Nothobranchius furzeri: one gene and its partner. The protein of the gene in region 1 interacts with the protein of each later gene in a pairwise test. Links are inferred from orthologs where the notes say so. Each region holds a gene or a part of one and is shown in the gene's direction. Other genes may lie near its edges.

What was found.
Region 2: the proteins of mipol1 (region 1) and enkd1 interact in binary tests that used the Homo sapiens proteins (3 or more experiments, as listed by UniProt). The two-hybrid records come from large-scale screens. The link is inferred for Nothobranchius furzeri from reciprocal best matches to the Homo sapiens genes MIPOL1 and ENKD1.

What each region holds. Positions count from the first base shown.
Region 1 is NC_091758.1:16,368,539-16,372,103, forward strand, and holds part of mipol1 (mirror-image polydactyly gene 1 protein), read left to right. Parts: intron 1-62; coding exon 63-189; intron 190-3,565.
Region 2 is NC_091757.1:55,623,930-55,628,037, reverse strand, and holds the start of enkd1 (enkurin domain-containing protein 1), read left to right. Parts: upstream 1-1,243; 5' UTR 1,244-1,357; intron 1,358-1,920; coding exon 1,921-2,005; intron 2,006-4,074; coding exon 4,075-4,108. UniProt on the Homo sapiens protein: Microtubule-binding protein which regulates microtubule organization and stability. Promotes the stability of astral microtubules and facilitates the proper orientation of the mitotic spindle.

The sequences.
Region 1 (3,565 bases):
TCTCTCTCGATCCTTTCTTTTTCTTTATGTTTCACCTTCTCCTTTTCTTCTCTTCCTCTCAGTGATGTTGGAGGAGGTGCTGGCAGCTCAAAAGAACAGAGATCAGGCTCTGATGTCACGACTCCTGCTGGCCAATCAGGAGAGAGACGAGGCTTTGCTTCACGCCCGCCAACTGCAGCAAACGGCCCAGTATGATTTTATTCTGTGTTGTTCAGTTTGGTTATAAAGTTAATAGTTGATGGTTTTAGTCAGGTCGTCGTGACACTTTTCTGTTCTCGTATTAAACGTTTATATTTAGCCACAACCTCTGCGTGACCTGAAGATGTTGTGCTCTGTATAGATTTGAGATTTTTAGGGAAAACATGAAAGTGTCACAAGGTTAAATAAACAAGTATCAACTAGCAACCCTATGCTAAAACTGATCAGTCTTTCAAACACATTTCTGGTGAAACTGCAGATGTTTTTAGCTAATTCTGAGACAGTGGACATATTCTGCTAATGTCTCATATTATCCATTTAAATATGATTACAACTCAGGTTCAAGGCGTTTTGGGTGAACTCAAAAAGATGCCACTTGTGACGGGTTCTGGTGGGTCACATGTTGAAATTGAAGAACACTATTATCCCCAAGAGACGTGCAGTTCCTGTGCAGCAAAAACCAACAGGCAGCAGCAACATTTACAGTTTGAGTGGACTTCCTAAACACCTTCCATCCTTAATCATTTAAAAACCCAACAGCCAAGAGGATTAAAGAGAAAGTCACCACCACTTCCCACTGTCTCCCCTACATAGGCTCAGACGTGGTGCTGCGCCACGGCTTAAATTCTAATGCCACACCTATGAGGTGTACACCTAGAGTGCTGTACACAATAGAGTAAAACACACAATTAGCAGGGGTGGACTGGCCTATCTGGCATCCTGGCACTGTCCCGGTGGACTGCTTGCCCAACTTGGGCTGACGCCCCGCCACCCCCCCACCCCGCGCACGCTCTCACCTTCAGTAGAATAGAGGAAACTCTGAGAGCAGAGTGGTGTCCAAGATGAAGTTGGTAAAGTTTCTACCTTCACAATCACTGAAAGCCACTTTTAAAGAAACAGCTTTAAGTGTTGAAAACTGTTTAGTGCTACTTTAAGAAAAACTCTTATTTTCTTTTCTTGAGTGATCAACGGGAACCTCCACAATCCATGATGTAAGCTAGCGTTAGCCTTACATTAGCTAACTGAAAACATTACAGCTATTATCCCTTAGAACAGTTAAAATTATTGTTGGGCAGCCTCGGTGAGCGCCCCCACGTGAAATGTTTTTTTTTAAATTGCCCCCATTCCTTAGCATTGGCCGTTGGCTTCAGCCACTTAGATCACCTCAGGAGGAGAAATGAGGAGTTCTAGTTGTTTTTGTGCTAGTCTGTTTGCACTGTTACATGGACGACTCTCAGCTAGCAACACATCAGATTTCTGCCCAGCGTTTGTCAAACGGGCTATTTTAGAGACATGTCTGTGTTTGTGGCGGCCATCTTTAATCAGGCTGAAAACATTCATCCAGTGATTTCAGTCTGCATTTCATAAAAACCTTCCAGTGGGTCATGTGATATGTAGTCAATGAGCACACACATGCAGGTAAGAACTTTATGTTTGCCGTTCAGCGGTGTGTGTGATGTTTTTGCCTGTAATAAACGACAGCTAGATCCTTTAGGGCCAGTTTAACTGGCGTGTAAATGTTTACTGTTGTTTCAGAAGCCGACTCCATGTGTTTTCCTGTGAGAACATTTATTTTTTTCTTTTTCATTTATTTACATGCAGAACATATTTAGTGTTGTCTGAAGGAGGATCACAACCCAGAACCGTTCTACTCCTCCTGTTCTCCTTCATTATTCACCTTGATAAGAGCTGTGAAATGAGTTCTTGTCCTCTTCAAGCAGCAGCCAAATAGAGCAGAAAATCTAATTAGAGATAATACCCCTCTTCCTACTGCTTCTTCTTCTTCTCCCTCAAAAACACCCACCCCCGCCCCTCCAGGATGAGAGGGTAATTGATATTGGAGGCCACAATCCTTTTTATCAGGGCAGAATATGGAGGAGCATGTTCCATCTGTCAGGACTGCGAGCGCGTGTCGGTTTATGTTGGTGGCTGTCCGTTTGTGTGTGTTTCTGATGCAGGAGGCAGCCTTGTAGACCTCAGATAGTGTGTGTTTCAGTCAGCTCTGTCGCGCGCGCACGCGCGCGCGTGTGTGTGTGTGTGTGTTATTGTGATGGACGAGTTGACCTGCGTAAATGTGTATGTGTGTGTTATAGATGTGTGTTTCTGACTAATGTGTCATTGTTTCTGTTGGTCTGCTGATGAGACCATGCAGGGCTCTGGCTGACAGCTCCATGTTCACTCAGCTTTGCTCCTCATTATTTCAGGATTTACAAACTGATTGGTTCATAAAATTAATCATGTATTCAATTTTCAACAAACCTGAGGATTCCCGGTGCAGTGTTGGAATCAGAACAGAGTTGCTGACTGAAAGCTGGTTCATATAATAACAGATTGTTTTTGATTAGTAACTTCTCGTGTCCGACAGTAATCTTCAGTCAGGAGGTCTGAAGCTCGTCTGAAACAAGAGTTTTCATATTCATCCCATGAAGACTATTTTAACGCATGTAGGGAACTTTTCAGACCTGTCTGAGGTTTTCCAGACAAACCCCACTGGGGACAGACCGCTGAGGCCTCTAGAGGGATTCATATCCTCGGTGGTCTGGGAACACCTTGAGATCCTCCAGGAGCAGCTGGAGAGTGTCTCTAGGGAGAGCAGGGAGGTCTGAGTTTATCTCCTGGATTTGGTACCTCCATGACCCAACCTTGATTAAGCCAAAGTTATTCCTGGCATATTCGCTACGGGGAAAACTCTCCAAGCGGTATGAGGTCACTTTCACTACTAGCTTGGGTTGACCAGTTTTGTCGAGTGATAGGAACACCAAGCTGCTTGGAGATGGCCTTCCAGCCTTTAACTTGACCTCCTCCTGGGACAGCTGTGTTCTCAGCTTTCTGTGGTCCGTGTTCTGTGTGGTACCCACCTTACCAAGCAGCACGGTGACTACCTTTCAGCCATTAAACTGACTGGAGACACCTGAGTAGAATGTGTCCCTCTGGTCACATTAGAAACCATCGTTAAAGTTTCATTAGTTTGTTTACTAAAGTTGTTCTGCTGAAACGGTTGAGCTGATTTCCAGTTAATGTTTAATTATTAATACTTTTGTCAGTCCTTTCTGTAACAGATCAGTACGAACTCTTTTGTCCACATCTGTGTTTAAATAAGGCTGACTGACTGAAATTTTAATTTCATGCTTCAATAATGCTTAAATAATATTATTTGATCCCTAGAACCTTGATTCTGGAGCGGTTCGAGTGTGAAGCAGCTGGGATGAGAATCAGTGTCTCTAAATCCAAGATCATGGACTCGAGTCGGAAAAGGGTAGAATGCCTTCTCCGTGTCAGGGACGAGGTCCTGCCTCAAATGGAGGAGTTTAAGTATCTCGGGGTCTTGGGAAAGATGGATCACAAGATCGACAGGCAAATTGGTGCT
Region 2 (4,108 bases), on another chromosome or scaffold:
GGTTTAGGCATCACGTAGCTCAGTCGCAGGAATAAATGAGCGTGCTTACTACTGGATGCGTCCAAATCCGGTTTCTGTTGTTTGTAAGCTGCCAGCAACATGCAACCCACCATATTTTCTTACACACTCTGTGCAAAAGTGTACAACAAATCCACCTTTTTGTTTTTGGGAGCGAAGCATTAAAGTTGAGGCATGTTTACGTCAGTTTGTGAAGGTTGTGTTTTTTTTAGTATGCTGATTTTAACCCACTCAGGCCTAAACAAGTATTAAAACCACCGTCTGCGGTGTTTCCACTCCTTTCTGTATGACAACCAAGCGACTGTTTACAACAACTAGACACCACGCAAATGAACAAGTGTGATAATAACTTTTTGAAAATAAAAATCCACTGGTGATCAACCTTTCTTACCTTGTTTAAAAATCGGAGTGTGCAGGGTTTTCACAGCTCTGTTCGGAGCAGCTGTTTGAAGGGGAAAGCGCAGACAAACGCAATGAGCATGCGCGGTCTGACCTGCTGAGGGCGGGGCCGTTGTGCAAGTGACATTTTAGACTGCTGAACTTTTGTTTAGTTTTATTACACACGTCGTGTCTATAACTCCATTGTGCAGGAAACACATTTTAAAACGATAGTAATAGTATGATAGTAAGGACGATTCCTAGTTAATCACTAAAATAAATAAATAAATAAAACACATTTGATTGTTTTAGTCCTCTGGTGCATTTTCTAATGCTTTAAACTTCAATATTTTCAAACACTCAGTATGTGTCATATATTATTTGTCTATAATAGCATTTAAATTGATGTGAGAAAAAAATGGGATATCTGCATCTATTTAGACCCTGATTTTTGCTTGACAGGTGAATCCAACTTAAGAAATCTCCGTAATACCACCACAAAACTATGAAGAACCAAGCAGCTAACTTTATGTATTTTGATAAATCACTAAAAATGAATTAGCAGCGTGTTTTGTTTAGCATCTGGCATGGGCTTCACGCAGCCTGATAGGTAATGCTCAGGAAACACTGCTGTTTTCAAGTAGGATTAACACAGAACTATAACTGCTAGCACCGCTCCAGAGCAGAGGACTCGCGGTCACTTTTCAAATCAGTCACTTTTTTTAACAGTAACACAATTTTAATACTTCTGTAATCAGTGTCTATACTTATAGTTGTTCATACGTTTGTCTTTTGTTTGCTTAATTTGTAAATCATTGCGCTCTACTTTTCTATCAGGTCTAGGTCTGTGTGCGCGTGCTCCGTTGCTATGGTGAAGAATTCTACAACAAGTTGATGCGTCGGCGTCATTGGCGTACGGGAACAAAACACCACACAGATAAACAACGAAGGGGTTTACAAGGTAAAAAAAAAGTAACCTAGTTCTTGAGGCTATTTATAAAAAGCCACAGAAAACCGTGACTCGTGTTTTTATCATTAACGTTAAGGCGAAAATTAGCCCCAACAGCTTGTGCTGATTAGCTCTCTTGGTGTTAAGCTATGACCGGTGGTGCCCTGCTTTTCATGACTACGTGAAAAAAATCCCATTTGTCATTTGTTCGCGTATCTGATATGTTTTCGTTTATTTTGAAGCTGTAGAAAACTGGCGGGCAGCTTAAGACAGCTGAAAACGTCAGCTCTTGTTTGTGCAACGCTTTTATTGTCAGGATGAGATTCGCTTTATAGTACTTATATGGGCCTATAAAGATTTTTACACGGGATACATAAAGTATGTTTGGTTTGAAAGCCATAATAAACCCAATTATTATTATTCTTGTAGGCTCAAGATAATTAGTGTCGCTGGTATTATTTGTCATAAAGTACATTGTGTACTAACAATTGATTCAATCAGCTGTTTTAATATTAAACATCACTTGAATGCCTGCCAGTGATACTGTACCCTTTGTGTGTCCTTTAATTCTTCAGATGTGTGAAGGACCTTCAACACTTTCTGGGCCAATCCCCCCAGATCCCTCTCTGTGTCCTCAGTTCTACAGACGCCCATCGTCAGGTTAGGAACTGTCAAATTTGTGTTTTTTGTACCAATTCTAATTTATTAAAAAAGTGTTACTACTTACAAATTATGAATTTATGTTTTCAATCTGCATTGTAAATAGTCTTCTTTTTCTTCTATGCTGGCTTGTTCACAAACTCGAGAGACACGAGCGTTCCTTTTACTGATTCAATTCAATTCAATTCAAGTTTATTTATAAAGCGTCAAATCACGACAAGAGTCGTCTCAAGGCATTTCACATAATAAACATTCCAATTCAGGTCAGTTCATTAAGCCAATCAGAAATAATGTTTCCTACATAAGGAACCCAGCAAATTGCATCGAGTCACTGACTAGTGTCCATGACTTTACAGCAATCCTCATACTAAGCAAGCATTTAGCGAAAGTGGAGAGGAAAACTCCCTTTTAACGGGAAGAAACCTCCAGAGGATCCTGGCTCAGTATAAGCAGCCATCCTCCACGACTCACTGGGGATGGAGAAGACAGAGCAGGCACGCGCGCACACACACACACACACACACACACACACACACACACACACACACACACACACACACACAGAGACAAAGACAAAGTAATGTGTCTATAGTTATATTGTGATTTCTTGGTAAATATTCTATTTGGTGAGAGATAAACTTTATTGTATTTATCCTAGTGGATCTATAATTAAACGGGTAAACTAGTAGTAGCACATCCAACGTCAAGGGAAGCAAAAAGTTATTATCAGGAGAGAGAGAATGTTTAAGTGGTTAGCAGCAGTGTGCTAGTCGATGGCCCCCTCCATGAGGCCACCACAGCTCAGCAGAACATCGTTGTAGCTTCTTCTGGGGAGAAAAACACTTAGAGAGAAAATAAAGTTAACAGCTGAAATAGCAGGAAATAGTACAGTTAAAGAGCAGATTGTAGAAGAAAGAGTAGAGTGTGGAAAGTGGTCAGTGTGTCCTCCAGCAGTCTAAGCCTATAGCAGCATAACTACAGAGATAACTCTGGATAATCTATAATCTATCTGATGTTTAATGCAGTCTTGCATCTTCAACTTTACACCACATGAACACCGTAGAACTAATGAAAAAGCATAAATCATGTACAAATTAACAAGTTAGTTGCCTTAAGTTTGCTAACATATGGAGTTTATAAATAAATAATAAACATACCACTTTGGTCTGCTAGTAGACAAGCCGGTAGACTTGAAAACACGTAACTTTCTTCTCAAATGTTCTTAATTGGCACAAATTTGTCCGTTCTCATCAATAAAATCTCCGAAACTACGAGAGACAGGAAGTGACGTCACAGCGCTCTTAAACACAACTTATCAAATAAACCAATTCAAAATTACTCAAACATCTAAAATGATTAATTCTGTGCACCTGTAAATGCTACAAAATGTATTGAAAACATGAAAAATAATATTTTAAAGAGCAAGTCACCCCCAAATCAACTTTTTTTGCTGATAAACTAAATAAACGAGTGTCTAATTGTGCTGCAGACACGTGTAGTCAATCATTTGGCACTTCAGTGCATCTTAGTTAAAATTTAAATATTCTGCCTAAAACTGTCAGTGTTGTGCCGTCGTCAGGTAAAAACTATACACTGTATTTGAATTTAAATCTGCCACTGCTGTTGGCTAAGAGGTATGCTATGATGTAAATTGGTACATTATGATGTCACAATGCTGTCGTGAGCCTGTGAGTGTGTGTATTTGTTAGTGGCTCCGCCCTCTCGGTCTGCCAGGCAACAGCATTTGCTGCATTTTTCAAACATGAAGTGGGAGTGGAGTTAGACTCTGGTAGGAGGTGACTTGCTCTTTAAATAAACATGTTAAATAAACTTTCTAGGGCATTCACAAAATCACAGTGCCATCTTGTGGTGAAACCTTGAACAAAAAAGTTGCTTCAACTACCTTTACATCTTCTTTGAAATGCTGCAACAACGTTGTTAATTTTTTGATAACTGATTCTTAATATGCATCATTTAGTACGCCATTACTGGAAATTGTACTGCACATAGTTTATTATACATTTAGAATTAATTACATGTTGGATTTTTTTCTCTCTCTCCTTCTTCAGCTCGTGGTCGCTTAGAGGGAAATCACGACAAGCC